Linked DNA regions of Astyanax mexicanus. The protein of the gene in region 2 purifies or fractionates together with the protein of the main gene of each other region. This does not show direct contact. Links are inferred from orthologs where the notes say so. Each region holds a gene or a part of one and is shown on either strand. Other genes may lie near its edges.

The links. The genes of interacting proteins can lie anywhere in the genome.
Region 1: the proteins of cldnd1b (region 2) and golga7 purify together in Homo sapiens (affinity purification with mass spectrometry; 3 studies listed by BioGRID and IntAct, counting the BioPlex papers as one, with this or other methods). This does not show direct contact. The link is inferred for Astyanax mexicanus from reciprocal best matches to the Homo sapiens genes CLDND1 and GOLGA7.

What each region holds. Positions count from the first base shown.
Region 1 is NC_064427.1:21,745,427-21,756,011, forward strand, and holds the start of golga7 (golgin subfamily A member 7), read left to right. Parts: upstream 1-5,315; 5' UTR 5,316-5,339; coding exon 5,340-5,423; intron 5,424-6,841; coding exon 6,842-6,967; intron 6,968-7,451; coding exon 7,452-7,604; intron 7,605-8,285; coding exon 8,286-8,387; intron 8,388-8,908; coding exon 8,909-8,953; 3' UTR 8,954-8,965; intron 8,966-9,621; 3' UTR 9,622-10,585. UniProt on the Homo sapiens protein: May be involved in protein transport from Golgi to cell surface. The ZDHHC9-GOLGA7 complex is a palmitoyltransferase specific for HRAS and NRAS.
Region 2 is NC_064432.1:22,638,662-22,650,143, reverse strand, and holds the start of cldnd1b (claudin domain-containing protein 1b), read left to right. Parts: upstream 1-6,097; 5' UTR 6,098-6,177; intron 6,178-7,380; 5' UTR 7,381-7,625; coding exon 7,626-7,920; intron 7,921-8,114; coding exon 8,115-8,222; intron 8,223-9,102; coding exon 9,103-9,240; intron 9,241-9,881; coding exon 9,882-10,102; 3' UTR 10,103-11,482. Other genes in the region: glb1 (beta-galactosidase), read left to right, coding at 59-133, 233-322, 1,367-1,480, 1,792-1,923, 2,756-3,010, 3,321-3,575. UniProt on the Homo sapiens protein: Plays a role in negatively regulating the permeability of cells to small molecules.

The sequences.
Region 1 (10,585 bases), on a different chromosome or scaffold from region 2:
AATCTCCTTAAATACCTTTTTCAGTTTTCAGAGTGTAAATTACTTATTTTACTGCAGAGAGGGTTTTGTATCACCTTCACCTGTAGCCCATATCAGCTCTATCCAATGAAAAACAAGCATCTCTATTTTGACTATTTTTAGTTCACTACATAGTTTGAACACACAAACTGTCCTTTACAGTGTACCAAACGTTTGTGATGAACAGACAAATAAAAATACTTCAAAATGACCTGAAATAAAAAAATGTATATGGACTTTCATTGAAAGTTTAGAAGGTTTTTTTTCTCTCTCTCCTGTAAAGTTGCTGGTTTGGAGATACTTGTTTTTCATTAGACAGTGACGATATACAGACCAAGGCATGTTAAGGGCTTAATTATATGCTGTGAAAACTACAGGAATTGTAAGAAAAGTGTAGTACTAATTAACATGAATCAAAAAGCAGGCTAAATTAAACATATTGGGCTAATTTGTTGTACAGAGAAAATATTTTTTGTTTTATAATTAAAATCAGGTTTAATGTGAGTCTTACTGTATACCCAGCCTCATTTCTGATCCTTGTTTTTTTAATATGTTGGTTATATTTCAGTAATACAGTGCAGAGTTTATTAGCTGCTGTGTGACTGATGTATTGTGTTATATATTGAGTGAGGGGTTGTGTAGGGAACTTTAGCTGGGTTTAGATGATGGCAGTGAGCGCTGGGGATTATTCTGAGCTGTATGATAATGAACAGATCGTTTTTGGGAGTCTGGTCTGGAGGTCTGAAGGTGTGGAGTAAACGTAGTTTCACATTTGTTTCAGATATAATGAATGTTTCTCTATGCAGTGCCTCAACTCTCCCGGGAACGTTCAGCATGAATTCTTTATTTCTATAACTCTATTTGCCAGAAAGGCAGATTTACGAGTTCGCTCGTGTGATTGTGGGGCAGAAACGACACAAAGCCTGAATACAATTCCAGCATGAATGCTGAAGCTCGCCAAACCAAAACCAAACTCCCAGAGCTCCCGTCCACATCCTGACAGGGGGAGTTCACCTCAGCAGTGGAGGTGAGAGAGAGAAATGCACTTTAAAACCACTATTTGTCTGAATCAAATAAATTAGGTCTGTTTTATGTATTGTATAAAAATTGTATGTTGTCAAACATTACTCAACATTTTTGAGTTAAGTGAACATTTGTGACTACATGTACATGTCAAACAAAGATCTTTGAGTTGAATTAACTTCTGACACTCACCGTTAGTGTGTAGTAATTCCCCCCTGAGGCTACCTTAGGTAAACGTGTACAATAGATAATATATTACGATTATAACTGCCTGGATTCTATTGTATGTTGTAGGCTGTATAAGCTAACATCATGTTCTGAGCTGCTACAGTAACTCAGTGTTTGGCTGTATGCTAGTTATACTGTTCTCTATATAGCATATTTTTCTTTATTTCATTTTCTATGAGTATTTAAAAAAAGACTAAGAAAAGACTAAATACTACATCTACAAATTTTATTTACCTGACCATCACATTCAAAGTAGAATTATTATGCAAAGCAATTGATATAGCAAAAATGTAATTCTTACTTAAAAATGTAGTACATATTACTTGTAATTTATTATAATTTACTACGTAAATAAAGTATATACGTATGTTCAAGAAAATCTTAATAAAAAATATTTTTATATTATATTTAAAGATATTTCATGTTTTATCTGCTCAATTTTATCCGCTACATTTAATTTATTAATAAACAATAATTAATAAACATCCATCCCTTTATTCCAGTTACACTGTAAAAATTCATCAGTCATTCTCCTTAATGTGATTTTTAATATTAAATTGCACCGAAAGCTATAGTAAATTAATCAACTCAACTAACATTAAGACTCTTAATGAATATATTTTTTGTTGATACTAAAAATAGGAGCAGAACTTGCAATACACATTTAATAGAAGTTAAATTAAATACTGTACATAAAAACGTAAACATTTTTTATTAACTTGGTGAGATTTAATATTTAAAGTTTTAACACATATAAAAAGTGTGTAATACCTAAACACAAGATTTTTACTTGGCACAACCGGTAGTGGTTTTATTTTCAAAAAATAAAAGTTTAAGTTTGAGCCTCAAAACTCAAAAATCTAGTGCAGTATATTGAAATTGTGAGTTTACAGTGCAACAGAGAGCATTATAAGTATGTTTTCCCTTGTAATCTCTTGTTCTTGTGGTTCTGTCAGCTGTTGTTGATGAAGGTTTATGATTGCTTTGCATCTGAGAGAATTCTGCAGTTATATTGTGCATTATTTTATTAGCAGTGAGTGTACTATTATAAATATATAATATATACAGTATTAACTGTAGCTGTATTTGATCTACAGTGTGCACTGTAGAAAGTGTTCGGAAATAAATCTCGGAAAGATTTACGGTACTGTTTGTCACACCAGCACACTCTCATCTAACAAACATTCATTAGTGAGGATTTATTACGGAGCATGTGTGATCCTGAGGGCTGGCGAGCAGCATGCGGGATTAATCTCTGAATGATTGCGCTGTTCCACTGTTCCTGGACCAGAACCATAACAGAACAAAGCCATCAGAGATCATATTAACTCTGCACTGTTATTTTACATCCAATAATAACTGATCAGAACAGAACTTCATACTGGATATTAATCTTGTTAGAGTAGAACTTCATACTAGATACTAATGTTATTAGAGTAGGACTTTGTACTGGATATTAATGTTATAATCTTAGGACTTCTAAACTAATGCTTTTACAGTCCAACTTTATAGTAACTTCATACTGGATACTAATGCTATAAGAGGAAGGCTCCTAAACTAATGCTATTACAGTATAAAGTCATAATAATTTAATACTAGATATGAATGTTAGTGGAGTAGAACTTAATTCTGGAAGTGGATATTAATGTTGTTAATGTTGTTATAGGATTTTATATAGTGTGAGGTGTGTGTGAGGAGTGCTGCAGTGTGTTTTTTCAGGCGAGTGCAGATTACATTTTATTATCACATTCTGTTTCCACATGGTAACGATTATATCTGATCACTTTATGTAGCTCAGACATACTGTTTCAGTTTTCAGTTGTTGTGTATAAATATTGAATTATGCACAGTCTAAAAGCCAAAAGTGTGTGTGTGTGTGTGTGTGTCAAAACTGCACTCAGTTAACCCGAGTTCCATGTTTTGTTGTTAAAAATATTCCTTGAGAAACGTTTAGGGGTTCTATGGTTTATAACTTCATACTGGATATTAATGTTATTATAGTAAAACTTCATACTGTTTTCTTAGAAGAACTTCATACTGAATATTATTGTTATTGTAGTAGAATATCATATTGAGAAATAATGTTAATAAAGTTCAACTTCGTACTGGATATTTATGTTATTACTAATGTTTTAGGAACGTTTTAACGTACAGTATAGAGCCTCTGTCGCTCACAGAACCCGAACAGTAGGTTCTGTTGGAGTCCCGCTGAGTTTATAAGAGGATAACTGTGAGGTTTATGAGGCTCCATATGGTGTTCATGTAGTTACCACCAGCGGGTTATAACTCAGGGGTCGTAACAATGTCCAACATTATTAAACACAATGTTTAAATCAAATGGAAATGATGTATTTATTATATTACAATCCCAAACACACAAAATCCCTTTGCTGGTACATCACCATCATATCATATGGTTTACTGCACTAAGGGAAATGAGCCAATCAGCAAAGCTTCCCCTAAATGATGTCATGCTGTAATGCAGAACGACACATCTGAGTTAAATTAAAGTTTTATGCTCTGCTCCACATTCAAATCACAGCACACTCCACTAATACCATTACGATTAATAGAGACATTTTAATGAAAAATAAACAACAAATGTGCCATTCCAAAGAATAACTATGAATTGAGCAGATATCCCTTTTGTATGTTGTCTGTTAAATAATAAAAGAGACATATTATATCAGTTTTTACACACGTTAGAATACAGTAGTCTATACAAAATATGATCATGAAGTTCTTTACACAAAATTACTCTCTCACCAGCTCTATTCTTACCAGTTTCAGTCCCTTTCAGAATGAGCCGTTTAAGGGCTCTGCCACTTTTATGCAAATAAGCTTTTGCTGGCCACGCCCCATGTTTGTGCTCAGTGTTTATCACACATTAGTGTTAGCTTGCGCTGACAAGCTAGTTTATGCTTAGCTGTAACAAAACACACAATAGGTACAGATTCCTCCCTCAGACGAAGTCAACTGATCTAGTGGGCAGGGCTCTGTTGAGGGTTAATGAGTAAGAAAAGGAGCCAGGGTGGTTCTATGCAGGGTACCTTATTGTGACCTCACAATAAAGAAGAGAATCCGATTGGCTCATAACAGCAAATGATTCCTGATTCCTTTCAAACTCTTTCAGCTGATTAACTGAAAATGGATGGATGGATATTAACTGCTCTGTTGTGGTCTATCCTGTGGGGTCCTGAGCATTAAAGAACAGGGGAAAAGGGGAAAACCTTGACCATGAAAGATCATCTTAGACCATCTGAATCCAGCTACCAGCAGAAACTGGTACCCGAGCAGAACCTGATCAAGATAGACAGGGTTATAGGTGGGTAATAACACAGCAGGTTACACAAATTCTGCAGTCTGGCTGAGGTCCTGATTTCAGAAGGTCAGTTATATGAGAAAAAATGGTTCTCCTTCCAGCATCTGAAACATTCAAGCTAATGAGCAACATTCAGCTGCAGCGTTATTAAGACCACATGCTGACTGAGAGTCTCAGTACACTCTACCTACCCAACTTTCACACACAGTTCAGTACAGACCAACAACATCTTCACTGAGGAGTGGAGGCACCTACATCGGTGGGCAGAGGCCTATATAAGCCTACAGAAATGTATAGATAAATAAAGACCATATTCACATGGAATCTATTGTTGTTTTATACCAATATCAACACAAGAAAAAAAGGAATTCTATTATCATACTGTAAATATCCAGAGTCTATATGCAATTAAATTCTTGGTTTAAGTTTAACCCACACAATCGTCACTGGAAGGACTGAAAAGTATCAGTCAAATAAGTGGGATGGGTAAAGCAGTGGTTTGGGTAAAGTTCTGAGTTGGGTTTAATTGGTGGGTTAGGTAAAGTGCTGGGCTGGTTGAAGTCCTGGGTTGGGTAAAGTGCTAAGTTGGGTAAAGTGCTGAGTTGAGTAAAGTGCTGGGTTGGGTAAAGCAGTCTGCTGGGTAAAGTGCTGGGTTGGGTAAAATGCTGGGCTGGATGAAGTGCTGTGTTGGGTAAAGTGCTGGGCTGGGTCCTCCTCGGATCAACTGGGCTGTTCTGGGGGAACGGAAATGAACAGCACGAAGTTGCACCCGGACGGTTTTAGCGGCGGATCCGAGGATCGGGGCGGAGACGGAGCAGCGGCCATGGCGGAGGTGAGTGTAAATCAGTAATATTAATAAAATCAGAGTTTATTATAATAAATAAGCGACGGACTACACATAAAAAGCTTCAGAACTACCGAACAGAACCGATAGAACCCGAACCCGCCGTGGATTTAGCTGGAAAATCGCTATAGAACAGTCGTTAGCTCACAGGCTAACAGGCTTAGCATAACAGCGTTCTTTGGTTTATTACGGAAAGAAGATTAGAAATCAATTTGTAACTTTATTACATTTTACTCCATGTAAACGCTTATATTCACCATGTACGCCTTCTGTATCTGATGCTATATGTGTTATTAAAGCTGGATGTGTTTAAAGGAAGTAGTTTAGCTATTTAGCTAGCGTTAGCTGGTTTAATAATGTTGGGGTTTGTTTATCTCAGACTGTAACTAACCGCTTTAATATCTAAACATGAGCTCAAGCTTTCAGACTTTATTAATCCCTTTAATTAACTTCAATTAACCCATAAGAGTCTATACACAGTTCTGAATATTGATACAAAATCCACAATTTAATAATTTGATTGAATCAAGCAGCTCATTATATTTATTGTTATAAAGAGCTTGTTACTGTAAATATTTTATTGCTAAAGCTAAATTAATCTAGGGTGCTGAATACTTTGTATTTTATCATTTTGTTCTAGACATCATAAAATAAGATGGTTTTATCTAAAAGCACTGAACCAGCAATCCAACACTCATGATCACACTTTTACACACTGTCCTGTATTGATGATCTCAGAATGTTCGGTATGTGCCACTTAGGAACTTTAACAGGAGTTAAAGTAAAGTACAGAGTGTTGTTAGGGTTTTGTGGATTAAACTGTGTTTCTAATTTAATAATAAATAAAATAATAAAATCTAATTTATAATAATTAAGTTTTGTAAGGCCTTGATATGTTTATACTTTGTTTAATTTACTTCTACTCTGGTTTTAGCAGATTAGAATACAGGGCCCCAAAAGGTTAACTGTGGAAAATAATAATTAGATATTTAATACTCTAAGAATTAATGACCAAGGTGTAATTTTCTCAGTTTAGCATTTGTTCCTTAAGTTTATTTAATCGTCCTCTTGATTTATAATATTATCAAATAGTGTGGGTTGTGTTTATAAGATTTAGAGAAGTGTTAGTGTGCAGTGATATGAGAAAGGAACAGATTAGAGACAATTATTAGACAAATGGTATGACAAGTTTAAGCTCCCCTGGTCTTCAAAATATCTCTGACCATCTGAAATAATGGTCTAATTTAGTAAATCATCTGAGATATATAGTGATATATAAATACCACTGTGTGTATTGTATGAGGTGCTCGACAAAACTCGTTCTTTATTAATGCAGACCTTTTAAAAGTATCTCAGTATTTGGTTGTATAAAGTTTATTAAATATGAGGTCGTTACTCTCTGGCAGACGCACAGCCTGCAGGACCTGCGGCAGCAAGCAGCCATCGCCTCCAAGGTGTTTGTGCAGCGAGACTACACATCTGGCACCATCTGCAAGTTCCAGACCAAGTTCCCCAGTGAGCTTGAGACCCGGGTAAGATCATTTCATCAGAGCAGCTGATTAGAATATTTAAAGCACTATTTTAGCTTTATCTAAAGTTGAGCCGTCAACTGAGCAACATGCAGCTTAATTTAGGGCGTCAGTGTGTCTTTGCTATTGTAACGACGGGAAAAGTACACCTTGGGTGACTCTTAATTAATTATGGGTGTGACATGAAATTTGGTCATACGGTAAAATAATCCAATGAGCGTCTCACTTGGCATTCCCTGTAAAAGCCAGGTGCGCTCTGGATTGCTATTTTAATGGTGCAGCTATGATTCTCAGCAGAGGATACTGATCTGCTCGTTCACACTGTGAAGGTGCACCAGCAGCTGATTCACAGCAACAGCAATGTTATTTTATTTAGTATTCTGTTTATCTAACGTCTTACAAAGATCACTCTCATTGAAGTTTTTAGTATACATTTTAAACGTATAAAAAGTGTTAATGTTGTGTGTTTTGGTTTGTATTTTATCAGATTGAGAAGCAGCAGTTTGAGGAGACGGTGCAGACCCTGAATAACCTGTACGCCGAGGCCGAGAAGCTCGGGGGAAAGTCCTATCTGGAGGGGTGTCTGGCCTGTCTCACCGCTTACACTATTTTCCTCTGCATGGAGACCCACTACGAAAAAGTGAGTTTATGTAGTATTTTCACACTTTACAGTACCAGTCAAAAGTTTGGACACATCTTCTTATTCAGTGTTTTTTTCTTTAATGAAATAAGTTAGGGGAGACATATGGAATTACATAGTAAACAGTAAAAACAGTCCTCCACAATCCCCTGATCTAAACCTGATGAACTGAGATGGTGATTTGGGATGAACTGGAGCTTCACAGCGTGAAGGAAAAGCAGCAGCTATTGTTTAGCACCTCCAGAAACTCCTTCTTTCTTCCAGGTGACTCTCACTCATTAAAAACACTAAGGTTAAAATACCAAGAGTGTACAGATCTGTCCTTTAAGATAAATGTGCTACTTATTTAGAAGAATCTAAAGTATAATTCTAACATATTCTGGTTTGTTTAAAACGTTTGTTTTCAGAATAATTCAGCATGTTTTTCTGTATAGCTTTAATATAGTCTTCAATATTAAAATTATAATGTAAACAATCATAAAAAGAAAGAAAACACACTGAAGGAGAGAAAAGAGGTGTGTCCAAACGTTTCACTGGTACTGTATATTGTTTTCTTTAACCGTTGAACCCTGTAATAAATACTCTGGGATTATTACACTGCTGAAAACTTTATTACAGCGATTTGTTTCCCATTACCTGAACTCTGCTCCCTTTTGTTTTGTTTTTTTGTTTTTTTCCCAGGTGCTAAAAAAGATCGCCAAGTACATCCAGGAGCAGAATGAGAAGGTTTATGCCCCTCTTGGCCTCCTCCTCACCGACCCAATCGAGAGAGGCTTGCGCGTCGTATCCTTCACCCAACAGCAGAATCTGATTCACGCTTCAAATCATGTCTCAGGCTCATGTCTCAGGCTCATGTCTCAGGCTCATGTCTCAGGCTCATGTCTCAGGCTCATGTCTCAGGCTCATGTCTCAGGCTCATGTCTCAGGCTCATGTCTCAGGCTCATGTCTCAGGCTTTAGGCTCACCTCTCACTCTCATTACAGCTCTAATCTCACACAGTCTGATGTGCTGAAAATAAAGTTATAGGAAATGGTTTGCAGTGTTGTGCAGAAAAGTGATTGTGTTGATTTAATTGATTTATATTAATACATTTAATTGAGAGCTTTGTTTGTTGTAAAATATCTAATAGTTGTTTTCAGCTTTTATCTACATGTTTTATAATTTTTCAAACTTTTCACATTAGTGTACTAAAATGAACATTATTAGGATTATTCTGAGCACTTAAATGTATAATAATGTAATAACAGTTTAATATAGACATAAGTTGTTTTATAAACAGTTTACCTTAACCCCGCCCTCCTAAGGTGGAGATAACCATATTTGAGGACAGAAGCATTGGATCAAGATAAAACGTACCAAAGGTAAACAAACACAAACGCACACACATTTACCTGATATTGCTTCTCTTGACAGGGTGTGTCTCTCTATACTATGAGTGCAGGATTGTCCTGCAGCAGATTCACCTCGGATTCAATATGTGCTCAAAATGTCCATACGCAACATATTTTAGATTTACTTTACAGTTGGACTCTGTATAAAGTTCTCTGCATGTAAATATAAAATAGTGCTGGATGATATGGCAAAAATCTGACACTATATATTTCTTAATTTCAGTGGATACAATACAGTTCTGATATTGATATGAACATTTACAATTAAAGCCACCACTCTTGTTGTACATTATCTTGCACTGATGGAGCTACTGGGTGATATGGTAAAAATATTATCACATTAATTAAAGACATTTATATACTGGTTATCATAATTTATAAATACATTTGAATTTCTCAGTTTTCTTGTGCTGCCATATTTTTTATTGATTCTCAGTGATAGTCCTTTGTTTGGAGTGTGCCTCTTGAAACCTTTATTGGAAGGACCATGTAACCCTAAAACATCCCCTAACTTACCCCTCCAGCTTTCACAGCACTGTGGAGGGCTTTCTGGTAATTACAATGTGTTTTTAATAATTACCTTGTATTTAATTGTAATTGTTTATTTTGTTTATTTTATTCTGCAGGAGAATGTATTGGACACATTAATCACTGGCCTGCTGGATTGAAAACCGGGTTCCTTCTTGCCCTCTTCATCCTGCCTGTCTGCGTCTGAATGTAGAGGCGTCCTCTTTCGTTCTACACTTCTATTCCTCCTCTTTCTCTGTTCTTTCTGCTTCTTTCCCCTCACAGAAGAACGATATGGTGGTCTGCAGATCCTCGTCTGACGCAGAGCTCCTGATCACTCAGCTGTCAGGATTTCTATGTAAACTGTTGTCTTACTGAATGGAGATTCATTTTAAAGCTAGAATATTATTGTTAATATTATTATTATGTGCCATGTGTTTTATATTGCGCCTTCTGAACTCTGGTTCAGTTTGTTCTGTTGAATCCTTGTATCTCCTCTGTTTTTTCTGTATATATGATGTACCTGTGGGTAAAGTGCACAGTGTTGACTCGCCGCTCGGTCGCAGTGTTCGGTGTCCACATAGTGAAAATTGTCTCGGAGGATCGGAGTCTGTGCCGGCTTTTAAACTGGCGAACTGACGTTCTGATGATGACGATCACTGATAATAGTGTGTAAAATAAATTATATGATGCTGATTTTGATATAATGTGCATTTTAATTCCATAATCGCATCATTAATGCCTCATTCCACAACGACTTTTCTCAGATTGTGTGACCATTTTCAGTATGTGAGATTATTATTACCAAGGCTTAGTTATAATGAAGAATAAGAAACACTACAGGGTGGACGCAGGGCTGTGAGGGTGGTTAACCTGGTCCTGGACTCTGATTGGACCCCTGAACCCCTGTTCTATTTTAAATGCAGTAATTACTGAGTCTTTATTCTTGTTTAGCTGATCACACTGTCCTCTGTGCTCTGTCTCTCTTTCTGCACCCGTGCTGAACATTAAAATAAATAAATAAATAATAATCATACATTTCAGGTGACGGTTCCATCCAGTTATTAAACCTGAACTCTGCCG
Region 2 (11,482 bases):
ATAAAGTGTGTGTATATCAGTAAATGACAATGTGTGCTGTGATCTGTGCTTTAAACAGTACAGGAAAATACCAGATGGAATGGTGCCACCATCTACACCTAAATATGCATACGGACAAGTCCCCATGAAAAAGGTAAATATTCACATTTACTCCATACCATGGTGTTAACTTCTGTTTAAAGGGGATTTTAAAACTAAAATCCCTATATAATTTATGTGTGTGTGTTTACAGTTGAGGACAGTGGCGGAGTCTCTGGATATCCTGTCTTTTTCTGGACCAGTTAAAAGCACTTATCCACTCACCTTCACAGACATGAAGCAGGTAAAACACATTCACATTTACACACACTTCAGTGTGAATTGTATGTGGGCCACCTTTAAATATGGAGTAGATGGGGTGGATATAGAACAGAGTCAAGTCAAAGAAACACCTTCATGTATGAACAGTTCTGTACTTGGTTAAACAGTTTCAAATAAACAGGTAAATGTTCATGGTATAATAGAACCTTTTAACCTTTTTTATGATTAAGTATTTTTTATTATTATTTTTTTATTCTTAGTAGTATTGTTTCAGGTGTTTTAGTTGATTTAAATTAGTTGCTTATAATCATACTTTAGATAAGACCTGATTATTTTTATTATTTTATTTTTTGCATTTTTGCATATTTTATGTTGGCTTATTATTCTTTATTTAAGTGTATTTTATTGTTTCAATTACTTTCAACTTTTTTTCTTTTTTTTATTAATCTTAAGTGTTTTCCTTTTATGACCATTTACTTGTATATAGCACTAAAAAGCACAAAAAAAAACATAAAAGTTATAACTATTAAAAGACATTATACATTATTTACTTTAGTTTTTTTATATTATTCAATTATTTTATTACTCTTATTATCATTATTTCAGCTATTTTAGTTCATTTAGTCTTATTTAAATTTTCTTATTTGATTTTATTTTATTTTTATTTTATTATTTTGTTTGGCTGTTTAAAGCTTTACTTTGACTTGTTTATGGGTAATTTAATTATTATTATTTTTAACGATTTGATTTATTTCCCTTTGGATTTTCTGTTTATTTTATTGTTTCTTTTACTAATTAAATCATATTTTGATCATTTTGTACCCTATTAATCTTCTATAACCTTGTTATGTGTTTATTATATCATATCAATAATATATTTTCTATATTTATTCCTTTCAGTCCTGTTTGTTGTAAATGATTGACTTTATAAAAATAAGACTCAATCCTATTAAAATAAAAATAATGGTTGAATGATTGGTTGATGGATCTTTATATATATTAATATATATATAAGTCATAAATATAAAAACAGTATCAGTTATGTTCTGAACCTTTTTTTTTTCAGGCTTTTGGCTTCATGCAGTATCAGACCGTCCTTCCAGTGGACTGTATAAACCCCACCCCTCTGTCCTCCCCCCTGAACGGAGTGCGTGACCGGGCCTATGTCTCTGTGGACGGGGTACGCTGCTTTATTACTGAATCATCTCTTTCACCGTTACTCTTCTCGTTTATTTATTAGCGCTGATGTAATAACAGCACTGAGACCTGCTGTGACCTGCTGAGAGAGGTATGATGTGTTTATGAACGGCTGTAAAGGGTTACATAAGGGTTATATAAGGAGGAAGGAGGTTCTGTAGAGCAGAATTGCTCTTTAATCCCCTTTAAATAAATGAAGAGATATAGATGGAACAGCGCTGGATTAGAGATGTGTACTGTGCTGATGTTACTGCTGATTATTGGGGTTATATCAGATTGTGTCCTCTCGCTCAGGTCGTCGCTGGGATCCTGGAGAGGGACAAGGCCATCACCATTAATATAACTGGTAAAGCTGGCAGCAGACTGGACATACTGGTGGAGAACTTGGGAAGGGTCAACTTCGGGAAAGACATCAACGACTTTAAGGTGAGTTTAAGCTTCAGTGCTGGGAGAAAAGCCTTACTATCGCCCCCTAGTGGGCTGGAGGAGTACTGCTACGAGGATGCCGGCTGTCAGTTCACTTATTTACACTAAAATACCCTTTACTAAACATAATTTAGTATAGAAAAATGACAAATATTTTTTGTTGTGACACATAAATACAGTATTGATAAACCACTATATTGCTTACACATTTAAATCACTGAATAAATAAAACAATTGTAACAATAAAACAATAATACCAAGATGACCAGATGAGGACATAGAATTCTCTGACATATTTAAATTAAAGCTCGATATTTCTGTACAAATATAATAATAAGGGAATAATTAAACTAATGATTTACTGAAGTACTAAAGAAATTAAACCACTGTGGAGCACTGTGGACATGAGAGAACTCACACACACACACACGCATTAAAGAAAACTATATAAAATGAAAAAAAAATGTTATTTAAAGTAAAGGTTAACATTATTTCTCTATATGTGTAATTATGTAATAAATAATTCAAAGTAAATATTGAAAAAACAATATTAAAAAAACAGTATTTTATGAACTTTAAACTAATATTATTTAACACAAAAGGCATATTATATTGATTTTGAGCCATTTACATTATGAAAATGCAACTAAAGATATATAAATATGTCAAAATCGTTGAGAAATGTAAATTAAAGTGTAATAGTACATTTAAGATAGATAAGATATTCACATTGTTGAGATATATGTAAAAAAGATTGTTATTGGACACCTTTTTTAATAAATATTTGTAATGACGTTAACGTGTCTCTCTCTCTCTCTCTCTCTGTGTACAGGGGCTGGTGTATAACCTGACTCTGGGAGCGAGTGTACTGGCCAACTGGACGGTGTACAGTCTGAGTATAGACGAGGCAGTGAAGGGTGGTCTCCTATTGGATACTGTCTCTCTCCGCCCCCCTAAAACCACCACCCCCAAAACTCCACCCACTAAACTCTCACCTCCAGCCTTCTACGCCGGATCCTTCAGCATTCCCGACGACATCCCTGATCTCCCCCAGGACACCTACATCCAGTTCCCAGACTGGAGAAAGGCAAGATATTTAATCTTTAATCTTTTTTTTCTAGAAAAAGACACAAACACAGAGAAGTCTTTTCTTTAGAGAAATTAAAGATGTAGCCAGAGAGTCTAAAAAAAACTCTTAAAACTGGAGAAAACTGCTACAGGAAGGCGTCTGGCTGACCCACATGGAAACGCTTAGCTTTAGCTCAGCTTAAAACTGGACTAAGTCTCAGTCACTAATAAGAAGTAAAATAAAATAAAAAAGCAGCTTTTTACCCATAGTGTATATGTAAACATTGTGATGTAATTTTAACTGTTTGTTTATTGCTGCACTATTACAGGGTCAGGTGTGGATTAACGGGTTTAACCTGGGCCGGTACTGGCCCTCCCGCGGCCCCCAGATCACCCTGTTCGTCCCGGGGTATCTGCTCAGCACCAGCGCTCCCAACAACATCACCGTCCTGGAGCTGGAGGCGTCGCCCTGCTCCTCAGGACCCTGCGCGGTGGAGTTCACCAACACTCCCAACATCAACGCCACCACCAGATTCACCACGCCCTTCATCAGAGATCCACTGAACCTACAGGGGCTTTTATAACACTCTCAATCATTCTTAATGAGAAATGACTGTACAATTCTAATAATCCACTCCGCCAGCTGAGCCGTGTGATTTAGGAGCGTGAGATTCTGCTGTCTGCACAGTTTACTGCTCTGAAAGTCTGATTCAGGATCAGACGCTGGGTTCGGACATCACTGCATGATAATATAGAGCTTAAAAGCTGACACAAGTATTTTAATCTGTATTTTAATCTGTATTTTAATGATGTTTTATGGAAAGAAAATTATGAATTAGAATTTTTACAACCTTTTTTTGTATTAAAATCTGCTGTTAAAAAAATACATGCTGAAATAATTTACAGTTTATAGATTTAAAAAAACTAATATCCATAAACTGAAACATTTGATTCAAGACAAGAAATATGCATTTAGGCCAATGGTGAAAAAAAAGAGTAGAAAAGTTTGAATCTAAACATTTATGAAACTGATTTTTGGAAATATCTTCTTTTTTCACAAGTTTCTCACACGTTTGAAAAAAAAAAAAAATTTGAATTATGCCATTAAATATTTAAGTCTATTAAATTTAATTAAAGTAAACAAAATGTAGATTCAGATGCTAATGTCAGCTTTTGAGCTCCATATGATTAATATATATATACATATACTGGAATACAGTATATTTGAACAGGAATGCAAAACGGTGCCTTTAATGAAGAATTTTATCACAATGTAACATTTTTTAATGTCCATCTCATTTACACTGAAATCACGTGTTAAGCTACCTCACTGAGATTATGTGTTTTTATCTGGGTAACGAATGATGAAATGATGAAAGTTTACACAAAGGGAACTCCTGCTTATCTCTGATTTTTTTACAGGATGAATGACTCACTGCTTATGTTCACAGAGCCTTTAAATAAATCAAAGCGGAATTCAGAGAGGCTCTCTATACCTGGTAAAGCCTTTGTATCCTTCGGTAGATTGTTCTACACTGACATGCCAAAAGTCATGGCACAATTCTACACAGATGCCACTAGTCACAGTCTTTCTCCACATTGCTATTTGCAGTGTTCAGCCTCACTCACAGGATACAACCTCAACACTTATACACTTATACAGTTTTGTGCATCCCCAAGCTGTCCACTGAGGTCAAATTTTATCATCAGTATGCAATGCTATCAGTACTATTGTCCCATGACATGTGGCATGTCAGTGTTTTATTTAAACACTGCTGTAATGGCTACAGAAACCGGTGGAGTCTTTTGTTAAACAAGGTGTGTTTTTATAAAAGCTTGACTTTGGGATGAACTGGAATTGAGATTTTTTTGCACTCCTCTGCTGAGAAACATGTGCAATAATGTGCTGTTTTATATGCCAGATGTTCAAATCTGCCTTTTATGTTCTATTGCATCTGATTAAAACTGTGTTTTATTTTATAGCAACAAATTAAAGAATTCATTTCAGGCCTGAAGTTTCCTTTTACTACAGCGTCTAAGTAACAAAGTTTGATAATAATAATAATAATAATAATAATAATAATAATAATAATCTACAGTACTGTAACTAGTGGGATATTTCTCAGCCCAGAATAACCAAAAAAAGGGACAAATATTACTTCAGTTATAAGTCCTGCTGTGTGAAATACAGGGTTCTATATTTACGTTTTAAGATTAAGTCATGTTTGGTCCTAAAACTAAATCCATTTTAGAATAAACTATTTATTTTAAATAAACATCTTACAGTGCCTATTGGAATTGGTTTCTCATACTTTAAATTACATCTTAATTCGAATTTTCCAATTTTTTTGTAGCAACAAAAATAAAGTAATTTATATAGACTAATTTGTATAGATACTTTTTCATTTCATTTCTTGTATTTCACTTAAGGAAAAGTGTAAAATAATCATAAAATTCACAGAAGCATAAGCCTATCTACTTAGATTCACTCTGCAGCTTCTGTATGTAAAGAGCTATAATCTTGATTATCCCATTTAAAAATATCATTAAAACAGTAATTCCTTTAGTCAAATTAGTTCCATTAACCTCCCAGCCCTACCTGGAATTCAGGCTTTCAGTTAACAGCTGTGCTGAACTCGTCAAGAGTTCATTACTTTATTTTTTTTTTGCCTCTTAATGTGTTTGAGAGCATCAGTTTTAATCCATATTATGATGACAACTACTCAACTCAATTGAAGATTTTATAAAAAAAAAAAAATGAAAGTAAAATTTAAGAAAAACGCTTATTTTAAGTTACTACATGGTTCAGTTTGTGTTCCTTTATAGTTCTGGATTACTTTAGTATTAATTTACAATGTAGGGAAAAAGAAAACAATAAAGACATTGAAGGAGAAGGTGTGTCCACACTTTTGTCTTGGTATTGTATGTGAATTGTTTCAGTTTATTACATTGTAGTGAATTATATTAATTAAAACATACTTTTCTTAAAAAAAAGTTTAAAAAGTTTAAAAATAACTACGATAAAAGTTATGTGTGTGTAATTCTCTTGCATAGAGGCTTTGTTTGATTGTAAAGAGAAAGAAATATTTAATATTAAGATCAGGTCTGATTGCTGTGGGCTGATGACGTAATAAAGGCGGGTCCACCCCAACCGGAACAGCCAGCTACAGACACTGGACTGAAACGGTGAGTACAGCTACATTACCTACATTTAACCTGTAATAATTAAACTTACACTGTAATAATGAACTAAACCCGCTTAGATAATATGTAGACAACCTGTTTAAACAGAACAATGGCGGGTAAACCCCAGAACGGGCACGGAATTAAGTGAATTTTGGGTCTAAACCCGGTATTTGAGCCAGCGCTAGCTGCAGTGTGTGTGCTGGTGTTTGGGTTAGCGGCGCTGGCTAACATCTGCTCTAACATCTGATTTACCCCCGATAAACCACTCTCTGCGCTTTATTTAACTCAGTAAGCCTTTTCCCTCGACATTTAAGCGATTAATAATCTGTATAATACTGTAATACTGCTGTTTTAGCTCAAAATAAAGCCAGAGTTTAGCTAAATATAGTGAAAGTGCAGGGCAGAGGCAGGGGTTAGCCTAGCCTAGCCGCAGGGGAACAGTCTGGGTTCACTGTTATTACACTTTTATTACACTGTTATTACACAATTATACAGCTGTAAGAACGGTTATTTAGTTATTCAGTACTGCTGACTGTTCAGTAACCTTAATATACATATTTTATGTGGTGGTTTAATGACTACATTTAAAGGAAAAGCTTAAAACTGCTCTATGTATATATACAGCTCTGAAACAAAACAAAACACACTTAAAATTATGAGTTTCTTTGATTTTACCAAATTGAAAAGAAATGCTTGGATTTTTTTGCACCAGGAGTGGCACTAAGTTATCCAAAAGCAGTGTGCAAGGCTGGTGGAGGAGAACATGCCAATGTGCATGAAAACTGTGATTAAAAACCAGAGTTATTTCACCAAATATTGATTTCTGAACTCTTAAAACTGTATGAATATAAACATATTTTCTTTGCATTATTTGAGGTCTGAAAGCTCTGCATCTTTTTGTTATTTCAGCCATTTCTCATTGTCTGCAAATAAATGCTCTAAATGACAATATAGTTTATATAGTTTATAGTTTATATAGTCCCCAAATCCCAAATCTAACACACCCCATTCATCCGATTAAGCTCTTTTCCTCTTGGCAGTAATTAGATGAATCGGGTGGGATTGATTAGTGTTTGGAGCTAAAGCTTGTGGTTAATCCCTGCTTTAAGCTATGTAGTGCTTTGTACTGTTAGTTTGCATTGCAAATGAAACATCATACTGCAGGCTCATACTAACTGTACTTTGCTTGTTTCTGTATTTCAGCTAAGGCGTGCTTCCCTGTGAAAAAATAAGACCTGCATTAACCTCAACCAGGCTGTGAAGTACCAGTTTCATCCACATATCTTGAATATGATGTAATGATAGTAGCCTTCATGGACAAACTGGGTTGTAATGATGAAGATTCCCCACCTTGATTCTTCAAAAACCTGTTCTTGACAGTGACTGACTGTGTTCCATTACAGTACAGAGGACTTATAGACTTATTAGATACGTTTTTTTATGTAAAAATGGTTGATAATCGTTATGCCACAGCGCTGGTGATCGGCTCAGTCCTGAGCCTGCTGGCTAGCGTGTATCTGTCCGTGGCAGTGGGCACTCGGCACTGGTACCAGTACCGAAGCATGCCGGCCAGCAACGATGTGAAAAACGGCTCAGACCTGCACGCGCTAAAGGGCGCTTTTATAGAGGAAGACGTGAGCGAAAAGACCTACAGTGAAGCTCTGTTCCGCCTCAACGGCACCATAGGGCTGTGGTGGCGCTGCATTCTGGTGCCTGAGGAAACACAGTGGTACAGACATCCTGGTAAGATGATGGTCTTTAAAATATTATTTGGAAGTTATGTAAGCAATGGTTCTTTGCCTATTTAAAGGGTTCTTGTCATATTTGGTTCTGAAAAGCACCAAATAGGGTTCTGTTAAGAACCACAATGTAATGTCTTATTGCAAAACTACTGCCTAATTCTATTTTTTTGGTGCTTCCTTTCTTTCTTTCATCAGAACCGAAGATGGTGACAGACTGTCAGGCCTTCACTTTGCCCCAGCAGTTTGAAACCAAGTACAAACTCCCTGGAAATTCTAGTAGTGAAGAAGATCTACTTCGGACCTGTAAGTGTAGGCCTCAAGAGTGTTGTTACATTATTATCTGTCTTTCTGTTCTTGGAAGACACACAACAAGTATTAAGGAAAATGACTAATAGTGTTTTTGCACCTTTCACCTGGAAGTGAGGTGTTTTCGGGTAAGTTTCTGGCGTATTATTGTCTTGGCAGCAGAGAACACATGTGCACAACTGACTGATTTGAACCCTGACAATTGCCAGACATTAAATTCTATCTTGGCAACGCAGGTATGCTGTGCACCTTTAAAATAACAATCTGAGAGCCAGAATCAGAGAGCACCTGGCTCTTAAATGGCATAGCAAGTGAAACTTTGATTGGTTTACTTATGTTACGCACCAAAAACATACCCATGATTAATTAAGAGACTTAGTAGTAAATGTCTTTGGCTTGTTTCAAGCCAAGCAAGGTGTACTTTTCCCGCCGTTATAATAGAAAAGACACCGACACTGTGTGAGTTTAGTAATTTCACTTGTGGACCAAACCAACCACACCAAGACATTTGAGAGAAGGTGGTGTCATTCGGGTTCTAAATGAACGTGATCTGATTTTGATCTGTCTCAGCTTTTGAGTTTAACCTGCTATATTGTCCTGATAATTACAACAGCTATAAACAAATGCTATATCTGCTCTTTCATCATGTAAAAAGAGGAGCAACCTAAATGTTCACACAGTATGCCTTGACAGTTTTTTGAGCTTGTTTTGTAAAGACAAAACAAACCAAAGCAAGGGGATAAGTCTCCAAGTTTACAAACTCATTATAACAGTATTTTAGTGTCCACTGTAACAACATTGTGTTTGCTGAATATTACTGTATTATTGTGTTATTAATAATAAGAAATATTAATTTTCCCTTCTCTGCTGTTCTCAGATCTGTGGAGGTGCCGATTCCTGTTCCCACTGGTGTCTCTCGGGCTGGTGTTTTTGGGAGCACTGATCGGAGTGTGTGCTTGCCTCTGCCGCAGCATCACACCAACCCTGTTTGTTGGTTTTCTCCATCTGCTGGCTGGTAAGATGACCTAGATGGCACACATACACACACACACTTCAGTAGTACATACAGAACTGGAGCAAAACTCTGGTTAGCTTGCATTAGATATATTGTATCTTATGATATTGTATCACAGTTTTTTTAAGGTTAGTCAGCTATTATTTCTGCCATGATGTCCATCTTCAAAACGACATAGAAACAGCTGAATGTGGGATATATATGCACTTTAAATGCCCAGATGAGATCTGATATTTAGTGAGAAAATATGTAATCTGTTTTGTCTGTCTTCAAGCTGATTGTGAACTGAGGAAGTGAGCAACCCTTACCTCTTCCCCATTGTGTTTTTTTTCCAAGGCACTTTTTGTACTAAGTTACAAATTAACGACAAGTTGACACATTTTTACAATCGTAATCATTGCAGCCCTAGTAAACACTGGCACAGAAATGTACAATAGAGCCTTATTAACTTGTTGCTGTGGAAAACTTCATTCAAAATAAGCTTTTTGCCAGTTTCAATTTTAAATGTACTTAGTGACAGATGTGACAGATCTTTATAAAATCCTGAATAACTGAGTGGGTTAACTTGGTTTATTCCAGTTCATCCATCGTTTGTTGTTGTTGATTGACCCTAAGCAAGTCCTCTACTCTCCTCTCTTCAGGTATTTGCTCTCTGGCCACAGTGTGCTGTTTCCTGGCTGGGATAGACCTGCTGCACAGAGCATCCGAGTCAGCTGATTGGATGAACTACTCTTTGGGCTGGTCCCTCTACCTAGCCCTGGTCTCCTCCCCGCTCCAGATGATGGCTGCTGCTCTCTTTATTTGGGCCGCCAGGAGCCATCGCAAGAACTACACTCGCATGACTGCCTACCGGGTGGCCTAGTTAATGGTGGACCACCCACACGGACAGCTCGCTGGACCACTGGGACTGTGTATAGTGTTGCCTGGGCAGCAAATTGTTATGAAAAGCCCAATTGCCTTCGCCTAGGCAAATGTTTGACCACTAAACTGAAGGACTGTAAATCTTAAATCTCGTACGACAGCCTGAAGAACACTTCACCAACATGGTGCAATCATCTGGTCCGTGTAAAGGTGTACACACACACACACATTTGATCCTAAGTGCTAAACTCCACAAAAAAAGAGGCTGTTCTGGCCTTGTCTCTTCTCTTCATTACTGCCTTGTTTACCACTCTGTTAGATCCATGTATAGATATAGGCATAGATAGACATCTACTTAGAAGACTACTTAGATTAACTTTTATGTTTAGAAACCTACATGTTTAGTAACATACAAAGCAGCTGCCGAAACGTTTGGTAGAATAGGTTTTCTTGTGTGATGTTTGACATTACAGAACCTGTGTTATCTTTTTACTTGCTTAAGATGCACCTTATTCTAATGATTCAGGAGTAGAATTATTTATAGAAGCTTCATCTTCTAATACCAATAAACAACAGTATATACAAGTATATAAAAGAGTTAGCAAACATCACATAGTAGGAGTATGTTATTTTTCAGGATAGATTTGTTACAGGACTTAAATCAAAATCCAAATTTTACTTCCTGCCTATATCTGATCCAATAATTTCTGCATTAAAAAAAATAGGACATTATGGGTGAAGAAAGCTCTGTTTCTTCACTTCATCTGACCCAGGGTATCAAACCTATGACCTTGTGTAGAATAAGCCAGCTTCGCAAGAGGCAGAGAGTAAAGGCCCTTGTTTAAAGGTAGTACCTGCTGGTTCATTGCTTTGAACCACCAACCACCACCTTCCATGCTTCAGGGCCTCCAGAGAATCCCGAACCCACAACCATGTGATCATTGCTCACCCAGCACTCTAAGTACTGGCCCACTATTACTCCCTATATATTATGAAATGAGAATTGTTTTCACTAAAACTTTACTTCAAAAGTAATTCAGTTCAGATAGCCAGGTTTTTTAACACATTAAAACTAATGCTCAGTTTTAATCCTAGATTTTCTTTGTTTGTGCACACTGGTCTAGTTTTAGATGTTATCGGGTTTGTTGTTATTCACATGAATGCAGTATGTAGCATAAGGTTTGTACTCATACGATTTGTGTCAATATGCATGAACAGAATGCAGTAACTTCTTGCCTTTGTTTCTCACACCATTAATAGAGCAGCTCAGACTTCTCGAGCCTTATGGGACAGTTTCCCAGACTGGGATTAGGCCTAGTCCTGGACAAAACACTGCATTTTAAATGGAGATTAAGATAAAGTCTAGGACTAGGCTTAATCT